2 linked regions of the Bombyx mori genome follow. The main gene of each other region encodes a partner of the protein of the gene in region 2 in a complex. Links are inferred from orthologs where the notes say so. Each region holds a gene or a part of one and is shown on either strand. Other genes may lie near its edges.

Region 1 (3,743 bases), on a different chromosome or scaffold from region 2:
ATAATTGAAACAAGTTTATTCATTATGTAACCATTCATATACCAAAATGAACTTAACAAAACATAGATTCTTATGACACTAAAGTTTATTCAAAATGACCTCCGTGATTTTGAATACAGGCCTTCAACTGCGCGGCCAGTCGTCTATCGCAGCACGAACGAGGTCCATGTCAATATCGGCGGCTGCCTTAATCAAGGATGTCTTGAGTGACTCCAAATTGGGATGAGGCTTTGAGCACGCCTTTTCCTCCAAGTGTTGCCATATCTTGTAATCTAACGGATTCAAATCTGGACTGGAGGAGGGCCAGTCTTCGTGCCGGATGAAGTCGATTTCACGCGCCGCCAGCCAGTCTTGTGTGCTCTTCGCTCTATGAGCTGGCGCCGAATCTTTTTGGAATACCCAGTGCCTGTTATTGAACATGGTATGAGAAACAGGTTCCACAAGGTTCGTCAGGATTGTATTTTGATACACAACTGCATTCGTTTTTACACCTTTCTCACAAAAATGTACCTCTGTTAAGCCCCAATAAGAAACTCCCAACCATACCATGAGCGAGGATGGAAAATGACCTCGTTGGACACGTGAAATACGGTTGCTCGCTTCTTCACTACGGTGTGCGTACACCTTATCATTTTGTTTGTTGTAGCTCTCTTCTACGGTAAAAATTTTTTCATCCGAAAAAAGAATTTCCCGATATTTTTTTCCCGCGTACCGCTTCAACAAAGCGCGGCATCTCTTCAGTCTCAGGTCCATTAGACGAGCATTCAAACGATGTCCTGTTTTTCTTCGATATGCCCGAAGCCCTAAGTCTTCATTTAACACCCTTTTCACCGTGGTTCTGCTTAACCCCATCTGAAGGGCCAACAGTTTCTGCTTACGTTTGGGATTTCTTTGAATTCGCGCCTTCACAGCTTTTATCACTGCTGGAGTCCTAACAGACCGAGGGCGACCACTTCTTGACCTGTCATCTACACTAGAGTCTTCATTGTATCGTTTGATGGTACGATAAACGAATCTTTTGGTTATATTCAAATTTTTCAGTATGTTAAAAATTTGAATTGGCGCGTAACCGCAACGATGCAACGCAATAACTGCAACACGGTCTTCTTTAAGCGTCCACTCCATATTTAAAAATGAGTAAAATTCTAAAAGTATACATTTTTATTTTCATGAACAGTTCGAAATTCGAATTCAATAAACTTTTTTGTGGCCAGCATTCTAAAAGAAAAGTTTTTACTGTGTGACAATACTTATGACCTGACTAGTTATATATATATTATACCTTCACCCTTAATAAAGAAAATTTTTCTATGTGCCTATCCCATTGCCTGTTCGATAACTGAAAAAAGGTATTGTCAACATTCAACAAATTCGAATGTCATTTTGAAATACTGGGGTAGACATAGCTACTATGGTTCACAATTTTTCTCGAAAATTTGAATTACATAATTTGCCAAAAAACTAATTAACACTTGATATTCACATTTGCTTCACGATGTTAAAGTAAGTTTAAATATTGGTTTATTGTTCCGACCGCAATAGAACTGTCAAAATATTGTACAAAACATATTCTAATTTGAACTGTGTATGTAGGTTTGGCGTGAAATCTGCGTTACTTGGATCCGCAGTGTACTACACAATAGACAAAGGTGTGTGGAAAGATAGTGCTACGACAGCGGCGATATATGATGAACTTGAAAAAGGAATGTCACCATATGTCGGGGAACTAAAGAGCCAAGTTCCATACGAAGTATGTTCTTAACTCAATTAACTACCTACTTTTAATTTCTTTTGCGGTTATGTTAATTCCAATGTTTATTTAATTACAGCTACCAGCATTACCTTCTAATGACAGGATATCATATTTGTTCAAGTACTACTGGAATTGCGGTGTCAAAGCTACATTTAGATTTTTAGTCGAATTGCCTACCCATACTAGTAATGCAGCTTTCAAGACATACGACTTTATTTCATCATCTTTGGAAACTCCAGAACCACATCAAGAAAAAGATAAATGAAGACTTAGTCAATAATTGTAATTTATTAAATACTTTAAATGTATAATTGACATTTCATCAGATGAATTTAGAGCTGGTGGTAATAAGAAATAAAATGCAACTTTACAAAACAGGCCACAGCTGTGGCAATTTGATTTATTAATTTTCTTGCAGTGTCAATATTTTATAATTTTCTATAACATTCATGCATGTTGAACACAATTTTGTGAAAAATAATAATACACACTGTTTATTTTAACATACAAAATCACATTCCAGTTTAAAAAATGAAACATTCAAATTATTAACTTCGCAAAGGGAAGTATTTGTGCACAACTATATCAGTTCAGGAATGATTAATTTGATTATAATCAAATTTTACCATAAAACGTATTTGCATGTACACAAAAATAACTGCATATTTATTTACCTACAAAATGGCTACATAAAGTAATTAGTACACACTTATGTGAAAGAAATTGGACACTAAAGTTGAAAAGCTATTATGCTATAAAATGTATTCTATAAATGAAGGCATTCTGGTGTCTAAGCCAAGATCAGAGAAGATCTTGGGTTTGTTTGTAGGTACAAAGCTAGATATTTATTCACATAACTATAAGTCAAGATGTGGTTGTCTCAGTAAAAAATTGCACAATTTTTGTTATTTTTGTCCATTTATATTGTGGAAAAATGTTAATATCATTTATTCCTGGGCACTTATGTATTTTTGCTAGGCAGCAGTCTCCACTTCCATGGGCTCTTCAGCTCCTGTTTTCTTTTTCTTCTTCTTGTTAGATTTTGCTGATGAATTTAGAAGGGCCTGTTTGTTAGAACAGAAAAACAATTTATTAGACTATCATCACCTTCATAGCGATTTAAAAAAAAAAAATGATTTCACAGAATGTTGTAATAGTTCAAACTGAAATGTAAAACAAAAACAAGTCAGCTCAAAAAGATTACAAATACTTTACCCTGAGCTTGTTCAAAACACACAATGTGATATGTTATGAAAGATAGCAGGGATAATATGTTTTCTACTTTTATCATGTTGGGTCTTAATCTTGTCTAGAATCAAGTTACAGCTGTTTTTCTGAATTAAAAATAAAATAATGGTAGGTGCTTTATAGAAATTGATGTTAGATGATTAAAAAATGATACATAGCTTTAATATAGACCTTTGTTTTCTATAACAGAATTTAAAAAAAAAACTAAGCCCTTACATGTACCATTCTGTAGATAGCACCCTGATCTGGTCTTAGTTACTGTTCACATTACAATATTTCAATAAACAGATAATAATAGTAAACAATACTGACATTAAGTTCTGGATCCTTGATGCTGCGTTCACTCTTACATTGGCTTTTATCAAAAGGCAAGCCAGTAATACGATGTGTGCCACTAGGAAGCAGAAGAGCCGTGAACTTAAACTGTGCCACCAATTCTCCTGGACGCTCATAGAGAACCTGAATAACAATTTTAATAAGTCAGGTCAGGTTCATAGTATTATAATTAATTTTTATTTTATTTTGGCTTTAGGCAAACTCACACCCAATATGGTGGTTACTGGAGTTGATCTTTACATTAATAAATCAGTCAGTCACTTGAACACACACAGTTGAAAGACTATATTGTTCTGCTACATCAAATATCTTACCTTTGGACCTGAATGCATAGCGTCTTTGCACCAGAAATAGGCCTAATGCTCATATCTATTCATGTCCGTATTTACATATCATTTAATTATTT
Region 2 (5,897 bases):
GGCCGCCAGCTGCTCCCCGAAGGCGGCGGCGTGGCGCCGGGTGGCGGCGGCCGCGGGCGGCGGCACCGGCGCCCCGGCCTCCAGCGCGCTCTCCACCCGCTCTGCAAGCAGTGCATGCGGATATCAATCTAATGATGCAATAATATGTGAAAATGTTAGTATCACTAGAGGGCGGGGCGGAGTGTACTGACGGATGGCGCTCTTGGCGCGAGCGGCGGCCTCCGCGGCCTGCTCGTGCGCCGCGTCCCGCTCGCTCTGCGCGCCCTGCAGCGCCGAGAAGTGCCTCTTGTCCAGCTCCTCCACGGTGGACTCCACTATCTGCGAACGACGCCAGAGTACAGGGGCTGTGCGGGGGGTTGGGGGGCGGCGCGGCGGGGGCGCCCACCTTGTAGAGCGCGTCGTTGTAGCGCTTGCAGTGCTGGGAGGCGCGCTTGTAGCTGTCGAGGGCCAGCTTGGTGTTGTCCATCATGTCGCGCTCCAGCTGCACCAGCTCGGCGGGCACGGCGGCGGCCGGGGCGCGCGCGGGCTCGCAGCGCTCCGTCTGCACCACCGTAGCTGCGCAACACGTTCAACTTTTACTTACATATGTACGTTTTCAAATATTAAGAGATTAGATGGGATTTATTTGTTTTTTTATTGTTTTTTGTTAATTATGTTTAAATAGTTTATGTAGGATGCAATATTAATATTGAGACAATCAGGTAGCCTATCGACCTACCTGGTGTGTCTACATCCGGTGTTCCAAGCTTCTTCTCCTCCACGTAGAGGGGCTCAAGGGAGGGCGGAGGCACTGTTAGTCACACGGAATACAAGTTCATAACGTTTATTAAAAATGATTTGCTTCACAGATAGTTCAGTGGCTGGCTGAATTAAAGTACTTTTATTTACAGGTTTGGAATCAATAAGTCTTATCAAACAACTTAAGGAGTCGTGCTGGCTGAGCCACTTGACTGGACTGGATAGCAATGTGTTGAAAAACAAACAAAACAAATGAAATGAAATACAATGAAATAAAATACAAACAATGTTTCTCCTGAATGTCAAGCAAGGTACTTTTCTATTTTCTGTATGAGGTATTAAAGATTATTAGGATAGATTTAGTAATTATATGCACATATGATCATTATTTTATTAATAATAATTGTCATACTAATTGTAATTAATAAAAAAATATATGAGTACAGTACATACATTGGAAGTCTTTGCTGGTTGCCTTCTTTGCTGCATCTGCATCTATGTCCTGCTGTGACCTCGACTTTATCTCTAATGGCGTAACACCTTCCTGTAATTATTTATGATGTTTAATAATAATTTATGTCGATGTGACGTAAATTTTTATTAGCTAGGCTAGAGCTGCAGACTTGATCCGTCTTACTCCCAATCATAATCAATATCTTTTTAATTGGTTAATACTTAAATTAATTTGAAATTATTTTGTAAAACCATCCTCATTTTGACATAACTGTAACAAGTAGTGAAACCCGGTTACGCCCTGCTGTGAGCATCCCTATTGAATTTCACAGATTCCTTGAAAGTACTCAGCCGCCACTTGCCGACAGACTTTTATATTTACATATATAGGTAGTGTTAAGGTAACCTTTCCAAACACAAAGTGGCTGATTGACGTGGTGGCCTGGTTGAAACGGTCCACTGTAAACTTCCACGGTGAAGACTTCTCCTGGTAAACGAGAGCTACCAGGTCATTGGCCCAAGGGACATTTGACTCTAACCAGTTTCGGGCCTCTGGACTGTGTCTGCAATCAATTTTAACAATTTAAATATATACAAGTGTCGTAGCCTAAAGGATAAGACGTCCGGTGCATTCGTATCTAGCGATGCACCTGTGTTCGAATCCCCCAGGCGGGTACCAATTTTTCTAATGAAATACGTACTTAACAAATATTCACGATTGATCCATGGTGAAGGAATAATATCATGTAATAAAAATCAAATCCGCAAAATTAGTTTGCGTAATTACTGGTGGTAGAACCTCTTGTGAGTCCGCACGAGTAGGTACCACCACCCTGCCTGTTTCTGCCGTGAAGCAGTAATGCGTTTCGGTTTGAAGGGTGGGGCAGCCGTTGTAACCTTACTGATATTACGGACTATACGGATATTTTGCTTTGAGATTAGAGCCAGATTTGAGATACGAGGAATCACACACTACAGCAGCTGAAAAATGAAATAAAGTGTATGAAAAAGAAGAAATATCTTCTATAATTTTTCCTTATTATGTTAAATGGTTTGAGACCTTAGTTCCATCAAACCTAGTAAAAACTAACTTGGCATAAACAACAGCAGCTCCAGTAAGTACAGTCGCTCCGACAGTGCTCCAGAAGAGCTTGCGTGACTTGCGGGGTTGCTGTCGTGTACCATGATCCTGGGAGTATGAGTTTTGACGAAGTACTATCAGTGCTGCTGAGGACCCATCAATGTGTCTTCTTACCTAAATCATATATCTAATGTTAGTTGTTATACATATTACTTACCTTTTATATTTATTTTGGTCCATGAATATTACTTTAATAAAAAGGACATGTTTAATGTCATAAACAACTTTCCCTAGTATTTGTGTTTCAAAACCAAGACATACCATGTTAAGATTTATATTGTTGACGGGTCAACAAGCCCATGGCCCACCTATTGTTAAGTGCTCACTTAATCCTGTAGACAACACAATGTGAATCCTGTCCTGAACCAAAGCCAAATCAACTGTATTCCAAACCAGAGTGCATGACCACTTCGCAACAAAAATAGGCAGGATGATTGCACCTACTCATACAGTTTTATAATATACCCTACTATAATATATTATAGGTTATAGGTATACATATATATATATATATATATATATATATATATATATATATATACCCTATAAATGCCAGTTGGCAATTGCAGTATGCTGGTGTAATTCTGAGCTCAGAGAACAATGATAAAATAAGATGACAAAAGATAGGGTGGTACTAATCTAGGTCAAAGGCACACAACCGTTATGTTTCTCACAATAATAAACTTAGTTATGCTATGAATATATATTCAGTTAATAAAAGGACTATTATTTTCCCCTTTAGTTTCAGCCGTTTATTCCCTTTTTGACATAGGATACTGTCTGTTCACACTTTGCGCATGACCATATTCGATACATTTTTTGGAAAGGCTCAGGATCAATGAATCATCTGATATAATTTACCACACAATGCACTACAAACAAAGAACGATTTTTCAAAACATCTTCTCAATCAAATACTCACTTTCTATTGTATGGGACATCCGCAAATTAGCTTTCATTACTTTAGCGTTGTATTTCAACTTTGATGTTAATAATTTATATTTAACTTCAAAATAATTAACCTATTTTTTTTTTCAATTGTAATCTAATTTAAAACAATTTCTATTGCATTTTGTGAAATTTGTTTCTATGTAAACAATTTGTATAACTTTTTGTTGGACTCGCTTAATCTGCTATGATATCAGTGCGTGTGTGTTGTGCATACAGCCTTAGTCATATAGGTTACATTTAGGAAATATGACATCAAAAGTATTATGTAAGGCACAACAACTTCAAGGTCTGGTTTGTTATTCCAATGAGGGCTGGCCATACAATCGGTTTTACTATAACAGGGAGATAATAATGTTTATATCTTGCCGGAGAGATCGTAAAACATCAAAACACTGAGAAAAATCGTTGTTTGGAAACACAAATGTTCATAATGTACTAAGTATAGAAAAAAGTATTAAAATAAAACATTTAAAAATTGTCCAAAATTTTATGTACTCACCAAAACTAATTTAGCATTCGATAAATGATTCGTAAATTTGTACATTTTCGGAATCTCTCCACTTGGGCCGTCAAATTTTTAGAGACTAAAATAAATATCTATGGACTAAAATAAATACGGTAGATATTGTCTATGACTAAAATTATCAATTTTATTTCCACTGTACCTATCCATTGACCATAAAGTAAAAAAAAAAAAAAATAGGGGGCCATTTTACCATTGGGAAAATTTGGTTTGTATTTAATGAGTTTTGCTATTTCTTCAGGAGTATTTCGAGTATTTGATACTGCAAATAACTCTATTTAGGCACTGTAATGTAAACCAAAAATAAAAATATTTCTTAAGGATAACGGTAAGATGTTAACTTTTTTTATTCCACTTGCTATTAAGTTGTTACAAGAGTCCATAGACGTCGCAAAGTCATTGTCGTCACACACCTTGTAACATGAGATCGTGGTCTTAACAGTATTGTATATCGACTATCCTACCCTTTCAGCCGGAACATGTCACTGGTTTGCTACAGAAATAAACAGGATTGCGGTACAATACTATATTTATTCATTTACTGTTTCTTCAAGTTTAGCGTGTAATGTTCTAGGCTTATTAACCGTTTAGCACCTGTTAATATGCGTGAAGGAAAAGGAAATAAAACTGTTAGACGTGATTTCTCTGGCTCTTTCAAAAAGCCTATCGAACTTTCAATAAATTCCTACAATTTCAAGAAGATAAAATTAAGTTATTCAGCGGTTGATTCTTTTTTATACCTGTTTTATTTTAGTTTAGTCCATAATCAATTTCATATTAATTAATTTATATTTTTTCGTTGTTCATTTATTTTTCGTGTACATCTCTAGCAAAAACATTTTTTTTTCAAAGACTTGGCTGTATTGGCTATGTTTTATTTGCTTAATTTATCGGTATGGAAGAATGTAAGAACCTAACCACTTTATCACATTAATTTCTATTTTCTAAACCCAAAAGGTTGTGGTTAGTTTAATTTTGCATAAAATATGTTTGAACTATAACATTTTTGTAAAAATGCTGCGTTTTTTAAGTACTGGTAAGGAATAGTATATAAATAACTCTATTTCACTACCATAAAATTATTAACTTTGAATTTACTTAATTTCCTCCGTATTCTACTGTCTAAGTAGATTGTGTTCCTTTTTCATATGAATATTTTTTTTATTTTTCAGCTGTTCGCTATGCTCGATGTCTTCCGGCTTCGCCCTTACACAATGCAATTACGCTTACTACTAAAGATGTCAGACATTTCTCAGCCTTTAAGAATATAGAGATACAACCTAGATCCTTGTTACCTCAAAATTCACTTCTAGCCAACAAACAAATATTGGACATTTTAATGAAAATTGATTTTACCCCAACAAGATCGGTTATAAAGTTTAGTTTAAAAAAAGGCAAAAGGAAAACAGTAAAGGCTGTTATCAAGCGATTTTTTAGACTGCACTGGGGTGGCTGGATTCGGACTAAAATTGGAAGGCACAAGAAATTATGGAAGAAATCATCTGCAAATAAAAGGAGGCTAAGGCAACATGTGTTCTGTAACTCTACACAAAACACTTTACTTGATAAAATGGTGACGAAATACTGGAAGAGACCTAAGCATTATGTAGAAGACCCTTATGCTCCATATCACACCCGTGAAGAATTTCACTTCACAAGAAAACAACCTATACAGAAATAATGCTATTTAGTTATCAGTAGATCATAATTAAATTTAGCTTGGAACTTATTTAGTACTTTTACATTTCTCCTGTTGAAGGTTATTGAAATCAGATGGTCGAAATAGGCACAGAACATGTCATTGTGTTGAACCATGCAACAGGCCTATATCAAGCAGTGGATATCTAAAGTTTGATGATGATGAATGCTTTAGATGTATAAATTTAGTCTGTCTGTTTAGTCATTATTGTGGTCAAATTGTGCTTATTAGAGCTATAGCTATATACATATATCATCCAAAAGTGTGTGAACGTTCGGTTAGTTGTTGTCTATTTTATGTACATATGAGAACGGGCAATTTGTTCCTTGTCATCTGGTTTGTGTTTGTCTTTTAGGAAGTAAAAAAAGTACTGCCAGCTGTTAGTCACATAC

What was found. The genes of interacting proteins can lie anywhere in the genome.
Region 1: MICOS complex subunit Mic60 (region 2) and MICOS complex subunit MIC13 homolog QIL1 share a complex: the UniProt entries of both Drosophila melanogaster proteins name them as parts of the mitochondrial contact site and cristae organizing system (MICOS) complex. The link is inferred for Bombyx mori from reciprocal best matches to the Drosophila melanogaster genes Mitofilin and QIL1.

The regions. Positions count from the first base shown.
Region 1 is NC_085115.1:12,273,215-12,276,957, reverse strand, and holds MICOS complex subunit MIC13 homolog QIL1, read left to right. Parts: upstream 1-1,351; 5' UTR 1,352-1,495; coding exon 1,496-1,503; intron 1,504-1,593; coding exon 1,594-1,750; intron 1,751-1,829; coding exon 1,830-2,018; 3' UTR 2,019-2,128; downstream 2,129-3,743. Other genes in the region: proliferation-associated protein 2G4, read right to left, coding at 2,728-2,817, 3,314-3,460. UniProt on the Drosophila melanogaster protein: Component of the MICOS complex, a large protein complex of the mitochondrial inner membrane that plays crucial roles in the maintenance of crista junctions, inner membrane architecture, and formation of contact sites to the outer membrane.
Region 2 is NC_085132.1:11,511,745-11,517,641, forward strand, and holds the start of MICOS complex subunit Mic60, read right to left. Parts: upstream 3,941-5,897; 5' UTR 3,828-3,940; coding exon 3,783-3,827; intron 2,447-3,782; coding exon 2,283-2,446; intron 1,755-2,282; coding exon 1,598-1,754; intron 1,283-1,597; coding exon 1,192-1,282; intron 791-1,191; coding exon 719-790; intron 556-718; coding exon 386-555; intron 319-385; coding exon 192-318; intron 102-191; coding exon 1-101. Other genes in the region: large ribosomal subunit protein bL35m, read left to right, coding at 4,821-4,842, 4,979-5,487. UniProt on the Drosophila melanogaster protein: Component of the MICOS complex, a large protein complex of the mitochondrial inner membrane that plays crucial roles in the maintenance of crista junctions, inner membrane architecture, and formation of contact sites to the outer membrane.